Linked DNA regions of Drosophila melanogaster. The protein of the gene in region 3 interacts with the protein of the main gene of each other region in a pairwise test. Each region holds a gene or a part of one and is shown on either strand. Other genes may lie near its edges.

Region 1 (5,631 bases), on a different chromosome or scaffold from region 3:
GGTTCCCGACAGCATCGGCGGCTGGTTTAAGCTCTCCTGTAAGTTTGGGCAATGAGCGTGGTTTTGCCCATTGGAATTTGATTTGCCTTCAAAGGGCGCCCCACATAAACCCAAATCCACGATAATGACGCAGCATCTAGGGGGGCCAACTAAATGGACTACTAAGGTGCAAATGTGGCGTGATATTGCGGAGCTGCTAACGGGAATTGGAAGTGCAGTGTGTGCACTTCCAGGCAAAAAAGTTGCAGCGATTATGCAACAACTGCTGAGCTCGCCAAGAAATTTATAATTGGAGCAAGTTTGTCTCGCAGATAGGCAACTAGATAGACGCATAATACAGGCATACCAACATGGGTATACCTATAAACATATATGCGCATATCTTGGTGCGTTTATAACCCAATATGTGTGTAGGGAACGACCTTGTGCCGGTTACGGCTGATCGACCAAAATATCTAGTTATAAAGCTTAAAATGCACTGCATTCCGTATTAACCTGGTTTCGTTTGCAGTCAAGGATTGGTTGGCCCTGATCCCACCCACCGTGGTGGTGGCCGGACTCGGCTACACCGCCTACCTGGCCTACTGTCCGGCGGCACGGGCCAGCTGCGCGGCCAAAAACAGCGGACGCTGCAACAACCACATCCGCAAGAACGAGCCCAAGGTGGTGGACATGATCGACGTGGAGGATATTGCGGAGAAGGCGGCCTTCTGTCGCTGCTGGAAGACCAAGAACGTGAGTGCATTCTAACCTCTGAAATATTGTGAACAAAATTTTCAATTGAATCCTCTATTCGCAGTGGCCCTACTGCGATGGCAGTCATGGCGAGCACAACAAGCAGACTGGAGACAACGTCGGACCAATTGTCATCAAGAAGTAGATTGCGGCGGTGCATCGATACACAAACGTTCTAGCATTTCCTCTCGCTGAGCTCCAGTTTGCTTTTAAAACCAATAGTAGTGGCCGAAGCTGTTTGAACCCTTGTAATTGTAAGCAATAATTGATGATATTGATGGATTAAGTTAAAAGGAGCCAATAAAATTGCCCAAACATAAATTCAAATCGATATGCTTAATTCTAATTACTAATAAATGCCAGACCTAACCTTTACCAACAACCAAATAAACCACACACACACATACACACACGTGTGAGAGAAAACCGTGCTGTTATTAATAGAAAACCTTTTATTTTTTATAAATATTTTCTGACTGCAGGCGGCTGTTCCGTTGACAATATCATGCTGTGTTATGCTTAGGCGGTTACAAACAAATTCTCCAGTACAAAATGCAGGAGGCGAGACACACGATTCCGCCAAACGTGGGAGGCAGCACGACAGATATTGGATATCTTTAGTGTACTTATCAGTTGGAACTTAAGAAATGGGCATTGTGCTCTTCCTGCATTTTAAATCTCAAACTTTATTGTTACTGCTGCTGTTGTTGTTGTTGGTCTAAATGAGGGCGGCTGCTGCTTTGAGCGGAGCTGGGCTAGGCAGAGATGATTACTTGAAGATCTTGCCCTGGTTGAACTTGCGACCGTCCTTGTCGGTGCCGGACCAGGAGAAGTACTGGGTGACCAGCTTCTTGGTCTCCTCGCTCTTGGCGTCGAGCTTCTTCCAGTCGTAGACCTCGTAGTCGATCTGCCAGTCGGGGGAGAGCGTGAAGGCCAGATCCTGTCCGCGCCACACCCAGATACCGGAGATGGTGCTGTTGCCGTCCTCGCCGAACAGGCAAACGGAGGCGAAGGCCGCCTTGCGCATCTTGTCCAGACGCTGGAACATGCCGGTGATGAGATTGCACGACATGAACACCTTGGACAGCTCCTCGTTGTATTTGTACTCGCCAAACCAGATCGAGTAGTTCTCGGCATCGAACTTATCGAAGAAGTAGGGAATGGACTTGGCCTCGTCCTCGTTGGAGTACACGCGCTTGAAGTCATCGAAGTTGAAGGTGCCCTTGGGCAGCGCATCGAAGGGGTCCTTGGACTTGGGCTCGGCGGCCAGGGCCTCATCGGCGGCGTCCAACTCCTCGGCGGGCTCGGCAGCCTTCTTGGGCGCCTCCTTCTTTTCCTTGGGCTTCTTCTCCTGCTTCTGCTGCTGAGCCTGCTGCTGGGGCTTGGCGGCTCCGGTCTTGGCCTGGAACTCGGCGTACTTCTTGGGGTCGAAGACCAGGGCCTTCTCGCACAGCTTGTAGTCCTTGACGACGGCCTGGACCTGCTTCTGGTTGAGGATGGTGACGAACCAGCGGTTCACGTTGCCGAAGGCACTGCGCACACTGGGCTCCAGGACGTACTCGTACAGGTGGAGCAGACTGCTGAAGACCACAATGTCGGCCAATGTGATCCTCTCGCCGGCCAGGAAGGTGGCGTCCTGCAGCTTCTGGTTGAGCTGCTGCAGCACAGCCTCGGCCTCTTGCTTGGCAGTGCTGTTCTTCTGCTGCGGCAGAATGCCCAGCAGGGGGAAGACCCAGGCACAGGAGGCAGGCACAATCTCGTTGTCGGCGAAGGAGATCCACTGCTGGACCTGGGCCTGCACGAAGGGGCACTTTCCGCCGCGCAGCTGCTCGTTGGCCAGCAGGTAGGCGATGGCATTGGACTCGCTCAAGTACTGTCCTTCGGCGGTCTCAAAGGCGGGCACCTACGGGCACATATCGTGTTGATGACCTGGCACTAGCCACACCCACAAAAAAAGCGGACTCACCTTGCCACCGGGGAACTTCTTGAGGAACTCAGCCGACTTGTTGGTCTCGCCGAACTTGAAGTTGTCGGCCACTTTCACCTGGGCTCCGGAGTACTGGGCTGCGATGAGCGCCTTGTAGGCCCGGAAGTTCTCGGGGTAAGTGTACAGAGTCTGCAAATATGGGTGGATTAGTTGTGATATCGTGGCAGCTAACCGGCATCTGGAAATTCGCAAATTCACATGGCTCGAAGCCACGGATTGGAAAATCCTCACTGCCCTTGTGCGTACGTACTCCTTTCACCATGGTGGATTCGCCGTTTAAATCGTCTGCCTGCAAATACAGTATTAAATACGATATAGTGGCAAATTCAGCGAAAAAACGCGGAGCACACGCACTCACCGGAAACGAAGAAGAGAAGGGACGGAAACAGGGCTGCAGGAGTCATCATGGTTACGGCGATATATCGATATTTCCTAGGCCATTTTGGTCATCGATGATTTCTATTCGACCTCGATGTTAAATTATACCTAAAAACATAAATCATTATCGTTTTTGGTATATTTATTTATCACATTTCAATTTGTAAATAAAGTCCAATAAGTGGGGTTTCAATAACAGCGTGCTGTTAAGCGCAAGGCGTTCCACCACTAACTGATCGTTAGTAAGAAAGATCCAATTTCAAATAAGGTGCGTTTATTCTAAAACGACCCGTATTTTTTTGAATTTAAAGTGTTCCCCTATGAAGATATCTGTGATCTCGTTTTATATTTATATTTAGCATACTGTTTAGTATTGCCTGATATTTCATAATTTAAATTTAAATACAGTGTTGTAAAGGGAAAACATAATCTCTGCGAATAGCAGCCTAATCGATGTTAACAGCAGCGAACTATGTTAAGATGGAAGATGAATTTAAGGAAGATTTTTAATTTAATATAAAAACGTTTTATTTATATTACAACGTCAAAGAAAGCAGTATTTGTGAAGTTTATATATTGTTGACATCCTTAAGTTCTTCTGTTGTTTAGGTCAATGATCTGAATATTGAACATTTTTTATCTCACATTAAATATTTGCCGTGTTCATAAACCAAGAAGCCAAAGACGACGCATTACTTAATGAAAACCATTACAGGTACTTTATTTAGATGCTACAAACATGATCACTACGTTCCCCCCACCCCTGCAGAATGCATCAGCATCGAATCGATCGAGGGCCTTCCTTCTCGACAGCATCCTCTTTTTTTTCCGAACGGAAATGCCGCGCATTGGGACGGACTGAGTGACTGAGTCGGTGTCCCGGGGATCGGGGCAAACATTTTTCCAGCTGCCGCCGTCGTAGAGTTCAAGTTCTGCATTGCTCTAATCGCTGCATTGTCATCTTCTCCAGCTCCAGCTCCAGCTTCTACTCTGGCTGCAACTCCAACTCCAGCTGCAGCCCCTTTTCCCAATCACCGCTTGGCGAAGTGCAGGCTTTCGCTGCTTGTGCTTGTTCTGAGCCGATGTTGCTGTTGATGCAGTTGTTGCTGCATCTGGTGGTGTTGGAGCCGTGGGTTGGTATGAGTTGGTATTGCCGCGCTTGTGGGAACGAGCACACATAGCAGGAAAACTATTTTCAAATTGGAAAGGTTTTGCACTTCTCCAACGCGCCGCGTTCGACGACGACAACCTCTTTCTCGTTAGTTTGTTCTTTTAACTATTATATCAATTAGTTGCGGCGTTTGACGGCTTCTTGTTGCTGCTGCTGCTGCTGTTCCTGATTGTTATTGCTGCTGCTGCTGCGGCTGCTTCGACCAGGAGGAAGTGGAAATCCAGTGCAGGGAAAGCCAGCTGCCGCGGCCGTTGCAACTGAATGCGCTTCTCGGCTTTGCCACCGCCGGTCGGGGTTGCAAACTCGCGGGGCCCATATTCATTTAGAAAATATGTAAATAAGCCAGCCGAGCCGCCGAAGTGAAGTGCCCTGCTCTCTCCTCCCTGCGGTGCGTTGGCATTTAAATGAGCGTGAAGCAAATCGTGTGGGAGGAGTAGCTTCATGGCCGTGCAGCAAGTGGCCATACAGTAGCCATCTATCCCTAGCCACGGAGCACTAACAATGGCCCACGGGGTTGAAAGGTGTTCCGGCTTCATTCCTTTGGCCTGAAATTAAAATTGGAGAGCAGCGAAATGCTGTGTTAATAGCGGCAGCAGGTGTTACAGTTACACTCAAACGCCCACGCAACAGAACGCACATACATACGTACATATGTAGGTACATGTGTATGTGTCGTCTTGTTGTCGTTGGCAACAACAACTGCACCGGAAAAAACATTGTAGATTATCCGTTTTAAGTATGATCTTTTACTTCGATTATTATTTTACTACTTCCTCTATTTTAATAGCACTTTCTAGCATTTTGAAACGAACTCCATTCAGCAAGCTTTAAACATTTGATAATACAATTCAATTGACATGACAATCTTAACGAAAAGGTCGTTTAACTTTTAATAGAAGTGTAACAAAAACCTGTGGATTGTAAATAGATTATTGTACAAGTACAAGGTATTATGGATCACTAAGACATTTGCTACTGAATGGTTTTCTGTTGAATTTGCGTAACTAAATAGTTCGTGGTTCAGTTGGGTGCCCTGAATGTTGATCCATTTTTATAATAGATATACATACATACATTTAAAAGGCATGTTCCAAGTGATATTTTGTTTATTTTTTTCTCACCATGTGACAAAAGGCGGGCAAAAAGCCGTTACTTACCCGCAGGCGCCACGGTAACAACGACAACAACAACCCTCGCCGAGTTTTCACACGAAAATCTATTGGCGTTGCAGTTCCAAGTTCCCAGTACCCAGTGGCCTGGGTTTCTGTTTCTGTGCCTGTGCCACTGTTTCTGTAGGGGCCACTCGGATTCGATTTTTAATCGCGTGTCACCAGCCCATAAATTGGTGGACCGTTGACTG
Region 2 (9,439 bases), on a different chromosome or scaffold from region 3:
AAGCAGCAGAAGAAGGTGGCCAACTGAGAGGCGGAACGGAATCTGTGAATGTAGTGGAGCGTTTCTCTGAACAACTACTAAAAAAAAAACAACTATAAGTACTCTACCATACAATACAATACCATATACTATATATTACTTGGCATTAGGTCGTAGTATGCGATTATTGTTCGCTAGAGCTCTGTGAGTGGTGAGTCAAATGGTATGGATACAGTGAATGGTGGTTAAGAGGAACTACATACATATTTTTTAATAATATGTATGACAATGCAAAATAATCCTCGTTTATTGCCTATTGGCTAGTTGCTCTTAACACACTTTTACTGAAATAATAACAATAATAATCATACCAACTGATTAATGCTTTGATTTTGATTGCAGATTGGCCGCGTGACTGCTGATAAGTGCATAGAAGTTTAGGAATCGTCTGTCATTGATACTAAAGGATAGCTGGAACTGATCTTGTATGAATGCATATGCACGTGTGTGTTTTGTAGGGGAATTCTAAGTAGTCCCGAGAGCTAATTAAATTTTCCGTTCTGTTATGCGAAATACAAGCTTGTGTCGAAAACAAATAAAGCGTTCCCGTTGGAATAAAAAATACATGAATATATTATTGCACAATCAGTGAAAGATGTTTAATCGTCAAAAGTGTTGAAATTGGACTTCTAGGACAGGCGAACGCTCACTCCACCGCCGCACTCGCCCTTGGACTTCTGCTCGAATGCTGCAAAAGGATTAAATCATATTTAATTCTGTAAGGATATTGTAGAGGATCTCTTACGATCGTCGGCATGCTGGCAGTTGTAGTTGGCCATGACGCACGGGCTGCCAAAGGTGAGGAGGCGCTCCTTGCTGCTGTTTTTGGCCTTGGCACAAACGGGCTCGTAGACTTCACCGCAGTTGTGCTGGCAACTGTTGGTGGCCGGCTTCTTGGTGTCCTTGGCCGGAGTAGCCAGGACGAATGCCAGCAAGCACAGTGCTAAATAAGTTTGGTCATGTTAAAATTCTTAAGCCCGCTCAATTATGTTTGTTTAAATGAAAACTAGATAAATATGTATTAGTACTTTATTTAATTTAATTGCATCACCGTTCGGAGCAAATTATATTTTTGTAGATCGGAATATAATTCTGTCCGTGAGATCATTCATTTGGGCTTTTGGTCTTAATGGATAGCCAATTATTTTTGCACTTTCCAATCATACAACAAATTGCTTCGTTTGATCCAAAATTGTATTTATAATTTTGTTTATTTTCGATCCCTAAACTAACTATACCCTTTGTATTTTTTATAGATGCTAATGGAAAGAGTTGTTTTTATGTACCTAGAAAAGCAAACAGAGCGAAACGCATTTTGAATAATAATCGAAATTTCCACGAAATCACAACTAGAATAAAAAAGATTTGACTTTCGCAAAAACCGGCTTCGAGTCGCGTTTGAAGTGAACTGAATTTTAGACTGCGAGATTGATCACCTTTATATACAAAGCCGGACTCATGAACAATAGAAAAGCAGCACAGACACAGCCGCAGAATATATGTATAAATGGGCAAACCGGCGACACATATAAGTAAGTGTGATAGGAATCGTATCTCTCACCTCAACCCACACAATCGCGGATCGGTGTGTATTAAAAACAAGCAAGTAAACATAAAGTGCACTTGTTTATATGGGTAACCCAACGGGGGATAACAATGGTGGGTCAACGAGATGATAATGACGATGCTGTCGCAGCAATTTGGATAGATAATGGGTTTGATCAGGCTGGATCTGAGCATGGGCGGGTTTTGAGTGACACGCGTCGCCGGTTGTAAGCGGTTCTCATCATCCTATTTTATTTTATTTATCCTCTTGACGGGGCATCCCACTATACCCCATTGTGTCAGATTTCTTGATGCATTGAATTTGTATAAGGTAATTACTTGTGTTATTCAGCTACTTCGGCTGATTTCAAAAGATATGTGCAACTGATCCTGTTCAATAAAATGTAATATCACATTTATCTTCTCTTTTAAAAAGATTGTGTAACACTAATTTATTTGCCAAAAACACAAAAATAGCAAGGGCGTTGAATTCAATTTGAGCTTCAACCATTAAAATTAAGACAGTAATCCGAATATGGAGAAGATGACATTCTTTAATTGATTCAATTTCGTGTTTAATGGCTTAATTTTTAATTGCAAACGTAATGCTCTCATTTTACGTGCACTTAATCTATTGAATTTACATGCACAATTTTTATTAACTATTCATATAATGATATACAAAAACAACCGCTTATGCGCCAAACTAAAACAAATTGAATATTTATTTACATAAGATAACTATAATCCGGATTTAGGCCGAAATCCATTCCAAAATGCCAGCTGTCGTATTATATTCAATTTCAAATTGCCGCGTACTTTGTTTTCTTATAACGGCAGATGTAACAACTCTAGTAGGTAGGTAGTAATCAAAAACAGGTAGATTTAATTTGTTTTACCAATATTGAACATTTGTTTCACGTGCAAGTCCCGAATCCACAACATTGACTATTTTGAGTAAAAACAATAGGTTGGTCATAAAAAATAATTACTAATTTACTAACCGCGGTCGCCGCATGTCTGAACAGGCCTCCAGCTTTTCCGGCTTGAGTATCCACTGATTCACCCGTGTCTCGAACCCAGAGTTGCCTAAACATATTTCGATGTATACATAAAGAGGGAAATTTATTTTTTAGGCTTGGCAATGCCGCTGCGGGCATATAAAAGTCCGCGCAGTCGTGCGCTTGTGTGAGTCATGGTGGAAAATTCGAGGCAAGCGTACCGATGCGCAAAGAACAAGCATAAGCGAAGAAGATAAAGATATCGATTAAAATTTCTGCTACAAAAATAAATATATATGTAACGCATATTGTAAATGTTCTAAGTTAAGTGACATAAATCAAATATTTGTGTAAAGTTTAATATTTTAATACGCGTCGAAGTACAACGAGTGAGGCTACAGAAGAGCACACACTAAAGTGGAGTACTTGGCGAGCGCAAATAACGGAAATCAAATTCGAAATAAACGCTGCGCAATAGACGGTGGTGTACATAAGAGTTTAACAAAATCCGAATCAGAATCAGTTGAAAGTGTGATTTTTTTGAGCCTTTGTCTGTAAGTGAAGAGAAAGCTTTAAGCGGAATTACATCTATATATATATATATAAATATATAAATACGAAGCCAGCCCGTCGCCATTTTGAAAGTGATTTTACAAAACACACACACACACATATATATACACAGCTGCGAACACATCCACATATAACCCCAAATAAAATCCGAAGAAAAGAGCAAAAAAAAAAACGCAAAACAAACCAATTTCCGCAACATTTTAAAGTGAAACATCCAAATCAAGGCAACTTTTAACCCAAACTCAACCCATTTTGTATATAACGCTTGTCGAAATATCGAAATCTGTATAACGAAGTGGCTGAGAAAACTGCGACACACACACGCACGCAAGCACACTCGTTGGTGTGAGGTCTACGGCAAAAAAGTAAGTCGCAATTGTGTTAGTAATCGCTGCGTGTGTATGTATGCGCGTGTGTGTGTTGATTCATTAATTCAGGTATTCTCGCAAAATAAATGTACATATGTATCTTTATATATACATGTGGGGTCGTCCCTCTGACGTCCCAAGTTTGCTTGAATAGCCAAACAAACACCTTTTGTTGACGTAAATAGCACACACAGTCTACACACAGTCACACGCTAAAACGATAATGCAGCCGTTACGTAGTTAGCACTACGTTACAGGTTGTTGCTACCTGGAAATGTAATCGTTACATGTCTTATTTCCCCTTTTCGGGTTCCCGTTTCTTATTATACACACACACACGCGGCCATCGAAATAGAACTGTTTTGTTTTACCTTTGGAACGTTACATTTCGTACTGAGGTAAAAAAGGTATTCTGTCGTATACTGACGTTTTTTCCATGTGTATATGTACATATTATCTTTCTTACTCAACCTAAATTTAAATATAGACCTTTTAACGTAAGAATGTATTTCAATAAACTGCATTGTAATTAATGCGGTTGATGCTGATTTCATAAATAGTTTCATAAGAAATAAGACTTCAACTATTTTCCTGTTAACATAAGCCAATATGTATCGTTTCGAATTTTCAATGGTTTCTTTCGCTCTTCTCCAAAAAACAGGATCAGCACGGCTTGGAATGCGAAAGCAGCAGTTAAATCAGCGAAGAACAGAGAGTTTGCGAAATTATAGCTAAGGATAGCTTAACCGGAGTAAAAAAAAAATAAATCAACAGACTGATAAACAATACATAACGTTACAAGTAAAACTAAAAGTAAAGTAAACAACAGCTGTACATAAAACATAAAGGAGAAGTGGAAAAGCAGCTACGTGCTCAGCCGCCCGTCGCCCTTTTCGTTTCCATTTTGGAGGTCATCTCAACTTCGGCGACTATCAGCTACCAAAGAAAATAGAGCGGCGCAGCTAGATCAACATCTCAATAGCAATAGCAGCAGAAGCAGAATCAGAATCAGAATCAGAAGGCGTTTGGTTTCGATTTATAAAGAATTGATTTAAGTGCGTGTGATATTTAACGTTAAGCATTAATTTAGCGAATTAACCAAAAACAAAAAGGGAAAACAGCAGAAATTTTAATAAGAGAAAGAGAAGAGGAGATCGGAGAGAGAGAGATATCGATCCAGAGATCGGAAAGCGACGAAATTACTATGACATACTCGCACAATAGCGTTAGAAACAACATCAGAATGACAACCGCATCGGCCACCAAGTCCATACGATTAAAAAAGGGAGCAGCATCAGCGACCTCCGCATCCAACTCATCCACCCCCTCGCCCACATCCGCACCCGTCTCCCCCACATCCGTATCCGCATCCGCACCAGCAACGCCCTTGGTAACTGCACATTCCAACAGTATTGCCAGCAGTACAAATAACGCCCAATTCCTGAGCTCCTCGCCCACGAGTCTCGGTTTTGGCCTGGGTCTATCCGCTCTTGCCACGCCCCCGAACCAGAGGCAACGGCAACTGCAGTCCCAGTCGACCGGATCCAAGAACAAGTATCAGCAGTCGCAGCAGCAGCGCCAGTCGCCGCAGCAGCAGCAGGGATCCTCTGTAGGCGGTGGAGGCTTCTTCTTTGCCAACAACAACCGAAGGAACGGAGGAGGACGTTCGCCCCAGGGAGCTATGCAGGTTCGGCAGTCACCAGCCACCATTTTGGGTGGAGGTTTCTCGCCGGGAATCGTCGGAGGATCGGCTCGCAAGCAGAGGAAGAGCCCTTCGTTGGGCGGAAAGATATCGCCCCAGCACCAGATGCAGCAGCACCCACTCATACCCACCGCACTGACGCATTTCGCGGGCAGCAAGTGCTTTGATGCACCAGCTCCAACGGCGCTGCCCAAGCCACCGCAGCACTGGACGTTGTCCAGGTCGGAGGGTAAGCTTCCCATGATGATGCCGTCGATGCCCAAGTTCCAGGTGCCGATGCAGACAGGCCGCTCGAAGCGGAATCTCCTCGATGACTTCGACACGCACAACCTAAAGTTGCTGCTCAATGTGCAGTCGTAACCACACTGGTGCTGGAGGATCAGTGTCTGGAGTAGGAAAGCAGGAACAGGATCTGGATCTAGAGCTGGATCTGAAGATGGATCTGGAGGACCGACATGAATGGCAAGAACACCCGGTGGACCCCGAACCCGTCAATGAGTTGCAAAAAAAAATCGATATGAACATAAAACCAACAAAAAAAAATTAACAAAAACATAAAACAAAAAATGGAAAATGAAAAAACTTTTACAAAAAAAGCGAAAACATTTCAACTGGAAATTTGAACTTTTTTAAACAAAAACAAAAAAAAAAAACAAGAGTAATGTTTGTGATCTCAAGTGTGTATCATAAAACAATTAAACCAATTTGAGAAGCTATTAGGTGAGAAGAGAAAAACTGTTTCAAGAAAAGAAAACTGAAAGCAAACAAAATACAAGTAAAAAACACACAAACTACTGTCCTCACACAACCGACCGACAAAAAAGAACATCAACAACGAACGACAATGAGAACAAATCAACACAGCGAAAAAGATGCAAAATTCCCCGCTACATAGAACATCTCCCCCAAACTCCAAAACTCCCCTGTCAACTTCAATGCGCAATCTTTATAGAGACAGCCAGCCAATCGACAAACTGCAACCAGTACAACACTCAATGGATGCCTGGCTGAAATACAAGGAAAACCAAATGGAAAGAGGACTTAAGCGAAGGAAAAGCCCGATTAGAGGAAGAAGAACTTTATATGTCTAACAACGGATACTTCACAACTGAACATTGTTTTAAACGTGATACGCAAATAGACTTGAAAATTAATTAATAAGTAAAATTATAAATATAATAATATTTATGAGTAATTCAAAAATGGACGCTAGAAGCGCAACATAACGTACAGTTTATGTTTATCCCCCGAAAAGCGGACAAAATGTGCAACGTACCTTAAATGTTGATAAAGAATAAATGCAGAGAGCAGCAAAAGCTAACAGAGTATATTCAAGAGACACGATAATACCTATTAACTAATAATAATAATAATGCAACTACTATAAATCGTATACCCACCAAATCACAAAGACTAATTCAAACAAAAACTCAACGACAACAACTCAACGCAGCCGCCGCAGCAGAGCAGCAGCAGAGCCGCAGCGCAAAATGCACTCAACTTGCCTATGAAAAGCAAATCAACACCTGTAACTCTCCTCTACCTTAAGATATATTGATCCACAATTGTATTGTAATTTTGACCAACCTAGATACTTCCATTACTTTTAGTTTTACGTCGCGCGATAGGGAAGCAATTGCCCAAAAATACTGAGCTACAAATGCGAACTGCAAACATGTTTAATTATTCTTAATGTGTAATTGCGAAATGGCTTTAAAAAATTCTAATTTAAACATTCTTGAATTGTACATAGAAGGGAACAACGCTAAAATGTTCAAATAAAATTTTCTAAAAACGAGAAATCGATAAACAATAAGAATAAGATCATAAGAAGATCAGCACTTGTAAATGTGGTAGCACGCTATTGGCGCAAGCAAGATTTTATTTAATCCAAAATATGTTTGATCTTGCGCCGAGCGGAAACAACAATTGTGAAAACAACTAAAAACTATATAAGTTGCAATCCCCAAAGCGAAGGCTTTACGAGAGAGGAAAAGATATAGTAATCGCGAGATGAGAATGAAATGAAACTACTTTATGTAAACTATTCGTTGATGCTCAATACTGAAACACTTGAACCCAGTACCTTATTTTCATTATTAGCATTACTTATTAATTGTTAATATTAATATGTATGTAAATTATTTAAGCCATCCCAAGCCTCCCACACTTCCAGATATCCTCAGCCAATCCAAAGTTATTTGTATTTTGCGTAGAAAGAGGCAGCGTGAGTTTTGTTATGTGTTTTTGCCAAGTGAATTGGCACCGAAGTGATAAGCCAAAAACAAAAGGAACCCCAAAATGTAAATGATAGTGGAAAATCCCAGAAATAAGATCGCACTTGAGTTTTGTTTACGCATATTGTTTAACTTCCCGAACCATCTAAATTATGAAACACGAGAATGAGAGATGAAAAGATATGAAACTATAACAAAACACTCGATGATAGTTTTAAAAATGTTGAAAAGCCAAAAAAGTCAAGTACTGTTTAGGTTTACTGAGCAAGTTGTCATATATTGGTAGCTTTAAAGCTTGTATCTTCAAGTTACACTACAAGTACACCCCATCCACCAACATACCCACTACTTAGAGTATTGAATCGCAGGGGTCACTCGAGCAGTGCTCGGGCAAGCCCCAGCTCACCCCCATTTACCCCCCTTTCCATACGAAGTACACACACACACACACCCCACAGAAAGACCCAAAACTTGTCGCGCAGAATTTTGCATTTTTTTTAAGTGTAAGCAAAACGTTTGTTACTTACTGGACGTCAGTTTAAGCGGAGAACAGCTTAGATTTCATTGAAGCAGGATAGAGATACAGATGCAAAACCTATTTGTAAAATTCAAAAGAAGAGAAAACCACTTTACTTAAAACAGACCAAAACAGCCCAGATTCGCCCGCTCTGCCTTGGACTGTGGGCACAAACGTTCCGGCCCGCTGACTTTTTCAACACCAATCAGTACAAAATAATTTCCATTTCAATGTTGGGAGCCCGAAACAAGATCGCGGCGGAGCTCTCCATGCTGCGAGTCCAAGGCGTTTGTGTCCCCAACCAAGGCGACTGCGAATTGAAGGCCTCTGAAATTATAATTCAAATTCAATTTTTTAATTTAAATTTAAAGCGTAACGACGACGATTCGACCAAGTTCGAATATTATTTTTAACCTCTTTTATTTAAGCCGAAACATGATTCGTCGTTCTAAAAACAATGAAAAGAAAGCAACCAAGCACTATGTATTTTTTTAATTTCTCCATTGATCTAATTTACAATTTAATTTGCAATTTTTTGTGATACTTTGCTATATTTTTAAACCTGGTATGTATACAAATTAAAAACAAATACAACTGAAGAGAAAACGATTAATTAAATACCCTTACAATTACCTTAAATGGACCATAAGATGAATGCGAATATGAAGAGCAAACTCGCAATTCTATATTGTAATTATAGAAACGATTGTGAATAAAAATCTGAGAAGAATTGTAAAGCAATATTGGAAATGTGTTAAATCCAAGTCAACTTTTAAAATTTGAGAAAAAAGAAAGAAAACCCCACAAACCAAACAACAACAACAAAACAATAGAAAAAAGAAATAAACAATTGTACATGGCTTTCGTAAAGAAATTTATGAAGGCTTTGTATGATTAACCAAAAAAAAATCCACAAATTTGTGTTTTTATTTGCGTTATCACGTACAGTTTTTCGTTGGCACTTTTAATTCCAGAGCTAATCGGCAAGATCCCCATACCCCGTACCCCCCGTAGAGAATCATAACCCCCTCCACATTCCAGACGATTCGAACAACATGTGCTCCGAAAAATTCCACTACGAGGTTCTCACATGTTTTTGTTTTTGAGCACGATATCTAAGCGAGCAACCAGAAAGACAGAAAGAACCACAATAAAATTGAAAACTAAAAAGCGCTTTGCTAGGAGATCGAAACAAAGGAAAATGCGCATATAGTACATATGCATATAAATATACATACATACATATTACATATATAAATGCAGCTGCATTTGTGCTGCGATTTCACAAACACCCAGATATTGCGACATAAATGCATGCAAAGTAAAATAAAACGATAAGCAACTTTACAGAGCCGAAGGGCATACATGTAATAGAACCATTTCCAACTCCGTTTCGATGTGAAAAACTATCCTGATTGTTCCTATGTTAGTTCTGAGTAGATGCAACCGCAATCGGA
Region 3 (5,150 bases):
ACGTTCTTCCGTTTGCGCGTGCTGAGCACCTGAAACGGCAGAATCTGCTTGCGCTCCACATCCCAGGCCACAATTTCGCTGTCTATGATGTAGGACTTTACGTCGCCCTTGAGCAAGGCAGTGCTCCTGGCAATCAAATCCGGATATTTTGCCGTGTTGTTCTCGGAGTTGCGCGAGAATATGCTGATCTCCCCCTTCTCGTTGCGGTGGATTTGGGCCCGCTCTCCATCGTATTTCCACTCGCAGGTGATTTGCATGCCGCCGAATCTCTCAAATACCTCATGGACCCCCTTGGTGGGCTGGGCGAGCATGGGCCTCAGCGGCATGCCGGGATGCATGGGGCAGCGTTCCTGCAGCTCCTTAATATCGTACTTTAGAATGGCCGGTATAATGATATCGTAGTTGGGACACTGACTGCAAAAGTTCGTTAGCATCTGAATTATTAGCTGGTTCTTAAGTTAGTTCTTACCAGTATGCAGTTTTCAACAGCAAAGTGGTGTCGACTATTTCATCCTTATACACATCCGGCACCTTGCTAGCCTTGCAATCATCGATGTGGTTCTTTTTCACCAAACCAATGGCCAGCGCTGTGAGCAAACTCTGCTCTGCAATGCCAATTCTTAGCTTGCCAATCAATGAACGGATAAAGAAGCGAGCCTCCGACGATCGACAGGCCACAAACATATTGTACACCAGGTCCATTTTCGACTGACCGGATAGCTTGGCTATTTCGCGTAGCTTCCGGAACACATCCCTCACATTCAGAGGCGCTGGCTGGAACATCATGCGCTGTGAAACGCGCGACTGCTCGGCCACGATGCCCAGATCCCCGGTTAGCTGCGTCTGCGATTTAATGTGAGCCAAATTACGCCCCGTTGCCTTGCAAATGGCCTTCATCAAGGTGGTCTCGGCAACGCCCAGCTCCAGTCCCTCGTAGGCGGGCGCCAGTTGGTTGATGCTGAGGTAGACGCTGGGCACAAGATCCTCCGGACTGACCAGCATCACAGAGCAGAAGAAGTTGCTCAGCGTGTCGATCATCTTGAGCCGGCCTTTGGTCTCCTCGATTACTTGAAATGTGCGGGCCAGTGCCAAGTAGGGAGTGCTGGAAAGTGTTTCCTTTGATATAATTCGCCTTGGAGGCTCAAAATCCTGCACTACTTACACCTTTTTGTCCTTCCAGTAGGCATTCTTGAGCGGATGATAGGAGTCGGCGGATGGATCGTAGTTTTCCACATCCTCCTTAGTAGCGGCAGTGGAGTTGAGACCTATGGTTGTGACCTTCTTGTCAGTGGTCTTGTCATCGACTTCCTTTGGTTCCTTCTTAACATTTTTCACCGGACTTGTCTTCTCCTCGGAATCCACAGACATAGGTTCTACCTTGGGCTTAGTTTCCGGGGAGGCACTTTCGCTCTTGATGTGGGGTTCATCTGGGAGTTCGGTCTTCGCATCAATCCTATGATTTGTCGAGGAATTTAGTAATGAAACAAGAAAACAGCGGCACCATTTACTTAGGAACTTTCTTGGGCGGCGAGGGGCTGTCGGTGGCATCGGATTTCTTCTTGAAGAAGGAGCTGAAACGGGGGATTGTTAGATTGGCAATACTTAGCATTTGTTAAATCGTAAATTACGTTATAGACTTTTGCATTTTGTGGCAATTCTGTGTTCAAATAAATACAAATTGCAATGCAATTAGTTCCCGCCAGTTTCTAGAGCTGGTCTTCAGTATCGATATATTGAAATGGAAATGCTATCGAAGTTGAAAATTTTATTAGTAAACATAAATTAAATGTTTATGCTACATAATTGAGAAATATTATTACGTACAATTGTGGCCATTTTTATATGCAAGTCAATCGACTTAATATTTCTCAAACAAATCATTAATAGACAAAAGGAAGAGTTTATTGTCATTCGGTGTGACCGCAGCACAGTCGTTGATAAACACGGGAAAACATCCACGGGGCAGTGTGACCAGAGCGCCGTTAAATTCACAAATAATTGCAATTCGCAATAGCACAGCCAAAACTGAAGATTACATACAATTTACAATGGCCGACGAGAGCATCACGCGAATGAACCTGGCGGCCATCAAGAAGATCGACCCGTACGCCAAGGAGATCGTGGATTCGTCCTCGCACGTCGCCTTCTACACGTTCAACTCGTCGCAGAACGAGTGGGAAAAGACCGATGTGGAGGGAGCCTTCTTCATATACCACCGCAACGCGGAGCCCTTTCACAGCATCTTCATCAACAACCGACTGAACACCACGTCCTTCGTGGAGCCCATCACCGGCAGCCTGGAGCTGCAGTCGCAGCCGCCGTTCCTGCTCTACCGCAACGAGCGCTCGCGCATCCGCGGCTTCTGGTTCTACAACAGCGAGGAGTGCGACCGCATCAGCGGCTTGGTGAACGGGCTGCTCAAGTCCAAGGATCAGGGAACGAATGGCCAGGCCCAGCGTCACGTCTCCGCGCCCCAGCAGCCAAAGCAGGACAGCAGCCAGCCGGCCAGCATATTCAACATGCTGACCAAGGCCCAGAAGGACTACAATGCCCAGGTGAGCGGCGGGCAGCCGAAGACGCCTTCGGCGGAGAACGTAACGGCCGGCAATGTGTTGAAGTTCTTCGAATCGGCCAAGCAGGCCACGGCAGAGTCACTGTTCCACCGCGTCCAGCCGCTCTCCGTGGACCAGCTGGAGAAACAGCAGCGGGCAGCCACGCCTGGCGAGGATCTGTTGCCCCCGGCAGGCAGGGACAATCACGAGAGCCGGCTGTCGCCCTTCCAGAAGATGCAGCAGCTTAACATTCAGCTCCTGAGCGACCTGAAGATCGGTAAAAGCTACGCTACGGCTCAATCTCCGACAGTCGCCCCGTCCTCGTCGGCGCTGATGGCCAACGACGATGCCGGCAAGTGCTTGCGGAGACTGCTGGCTGGCGACAAGCCCGGGCCGGCCCTCATGCCGCCCACCATGTTCGACGCGCCCAACAACGGCAATCCGGAGCCACAGCAGCCACAGCAGCCACAGCAGCCACTGCTGAACTCGACGCAGTTCGTCCAGGCCTTCACGTACCTTATCCAGAACGATAAGGAGTTTGCCAACAAGCTGCACAAGGCCTACCTGAACGGCTGTTCCAATCTACTGCTGGACTCCAGCTCCACATATCAATAAACAGAAATATTCAACATTTCCGAATTGCAGCCCATATTTTCATTTGTTCGCATGGAGTTCGAGTTCAAGCCGAGTTAATTTACAAAATGTAATAGCTGTAAGCCGACAAGGGCAGTCGTAGATTTAAAATCTAGAAGCCCCGCCGGAGAAGGACGGCATCCATTTCCAGAGCAACCTTAAGAGTTAACTAACGTAGTTGGTTTTGTGAAGTATTCGTATTTATTTACAAAATGGTTAACTAGGCCGAAGGGGCGTAGAAAAGGTAGTTGAATGGCAAACAGAATTCAATAAACATTAATTTAGTAACAATAAATAACAACGCTTTTATTTAGGCCAATACCTTCAGCTTGCAGAGCAGGTAGTACAGAAAACAAAACAGCCACAGGCTGAAGTCGACGTGGCTCCTGCCCGCCGCCGCGGACGTGGCCACCGTGGTCAGGTTCTTGCCGTATCCCTCGAAGGACACCACGCACTGGTAGGCATCGGGATCGTCGTCGGTGTCGTAGGCCGCCACCACGGCGCTGCCATCGAAGTATCCCTCCTCGTTCTCGTACACCATGGGCTCCCGCTTCACCACGTCCATGTCGTTGGATCTGTAATAGGAGCGGAGTTGAGTTGGGACGTTGTTTACTACAAGGCTGTCTTACGACAAGGCAGGCGCTCGTCCTTACATTATCGTGATGGTGGGCCTGGGATACACGTTCGTCACGGTGCAGTTCAGCTGCGTCTCATTGTGGATCGTCTTGTGGGACAGCTCCAGGGTGTAGTTCCTCAGGTCTATGACCTGAACCCTCTGGTGGCTGGAGAAGGTGTTCAGCGAGGTCTGCACCACGCACTTGTAGTCGCCGGTGGTGGCGATCGTGGGGTTGATCAAAGCCAGCGAGCTGTACTGCTTGCTCGGCTCCGTGGAGCTCTCATAGGTGCTGTCAATCTCGTTCCTGAACTCGGGCTATCAAGGAGGGGAAAGCGGTTAGTATCTTAAGCGCACCACACCGTTTGGTTCACTCACGATGGCATATGGAGGTGTTCCGAAGATCCACTGGTATATGGACTTGTCGTCTCTGTACCATTTGACGGTGATGAACTTCGGGCTCTCCTCCACCTCGTAGTCGCAGTCCAGGATCGTGGGCTCCATCTCCTCGTTCTGAAGGACTATAATCTTGTCCTCGGACTCATCCCTCGTGGGATAGCATAGCGCATCTGGGGGAGAGCGAATATTACTGATTAGAACGCAGAATTCAGAAACGAAACGAAAAGCTTTTAGCACGACGAGGTCTCGAAATTACAGAACACGCGCGGTATTATTTGGAATATATGTACATATGCAGCACAGGCAAATCCAAAACACATTGTACACAAAAATCTATATAATTTGGCGAAAGCGTATATTTACGAGAAGCGAAAACGCGATGAGCGGATGCCTGTTTCGTTTTAAAAATAGACACTAATAACAAACAAAAGCTAGAAAATTGAACATTTTTCATTCGGCAGTTTGTCATCATGTGTGCCAAAATTCTGAAAACTCTGTTCAATTTTATTAGGTTCCTTTCGCTGGAATCTTTTGCTTTCCACTTAGCATCTATTGCTCCGACTTCAAAACCACTGGCGCTTTTTCCACATTGAAAAACATATAGTTTCGAACACGAATAATTGCACGTAAAATCCTTCAGCCCGTTCAAATCCACAAATTAAAGGATAATCGAATCTGCACATATTGTTTATATATTGTTTATATATTGTTTATATTCCGTTTTAGCACATGTTAACTCAGAACCGAATGTGGATATACGTTCGTATTTATAGATATCCGATTTGTCATTATTTTTCTCAAGGTTTGCGCATTCGAAATTCGTTTATATGCGCCTTCCGAATGATTTCATTTCTTAATTTAAAAATCGCGTTTCCCATATCGGTTGCTGGCTGGATCGCCACAGGATCTGGCTGTACCTCTGTGGAGCAGTCCGATGGCCAGAATGGCGATCA

Evidence for each region. The genes of interacting proteins can lie anywhere in the genome.
Region 1: the proteins of DCP1 (region 3) and eEF1gamma interact in a two-hybrid assay, tested with the Drosophila melanogaster proteins (one large-scale study listed by BioGRID).
Region 2: the proteins of DCP1 (region 3) and aqz interact in a two-hybrid assay, tested with the Drosophila melanogaster proteins (one large-scale study listed by BioGRID).

The regions. Positions count from the first base shown.
Region 1 is NT_033777.3:29,217,650-29,223,280, reverse strand, and holds eEF1gamma (eukaryotic translation elongation factor 1 gamma), read right to left. Parts: upstream 3,110-5,631; 5' UTR 3,081-3,109; exon of another isoform or gene 3,077-3,080; intron 3,018-3,076; exon of another isoform or gene 3,012-3,017; 5' UTR 2,985-3,011; coding exon 2,973-2,984; intron 2,852-2,972; coding exon 2,702-2,851; intron 2,639-2,701; coding exon 1,505-2,638; 3' UTR 1,172-1,504; downstream 1-1,171. Other genes in the region: Cisd2 (CDGSH iron sulfur domain 2), read left to right, coding at 1-38, 512-735, 800-880. UniProt on the Drosophila melanogaster protein: Microtubule binding protein involved in regulation of microtubule-based transport. Probably plays a role in anchoring the EF-1 complex to other cellular components.
Region 2 is NT_033777.3:8,814,012-8,823,450, reverse strand, and holds the start of aqz (aaquetzalli), read left to right. Parts: upstream 1-2,768; 5' UTR 2,769-3,139; exon of another isoform or gene 3,140-3,523; intron 3,524-3,813; exon of another isoform or gene 3,814-3,833; intron 3,834-4,187; 5' UTR 4,188-4,730; coding exon 4,731-5,588; 3' UTR 5,589-9,439. Other genes in the region: IscU (Iron-sulfur cluster assembly enzyme), read left to right, coding at 1-27; CG8369 (uncharacterized protein), read right to left, coding at 669-727, 785-982, 1,326-1,353.
Region 3 is NT_033778.4:23,887,091-23,892,240, reverse strand, and holds DCP1 (decapping protein 1), read left to right. Parts: upstream 1-1,964; 5' UTR 1,965-2,048; coding exon 2,049-3,167; 3' UTR 3,168-3,477; downstream 3,478-5,150. Other genes in the region: DNAlig1 (DNA ligase 1), read right to left, coding at 1-414, 470-1,102, 1,163-1,453, 1,509-1,571, 1,629-1,645; CG5597 (uncharacterized protein), read right to left, coding at 3,496-3,760, 3,839-4,116, 4,177-4,367, 5,115-5,150.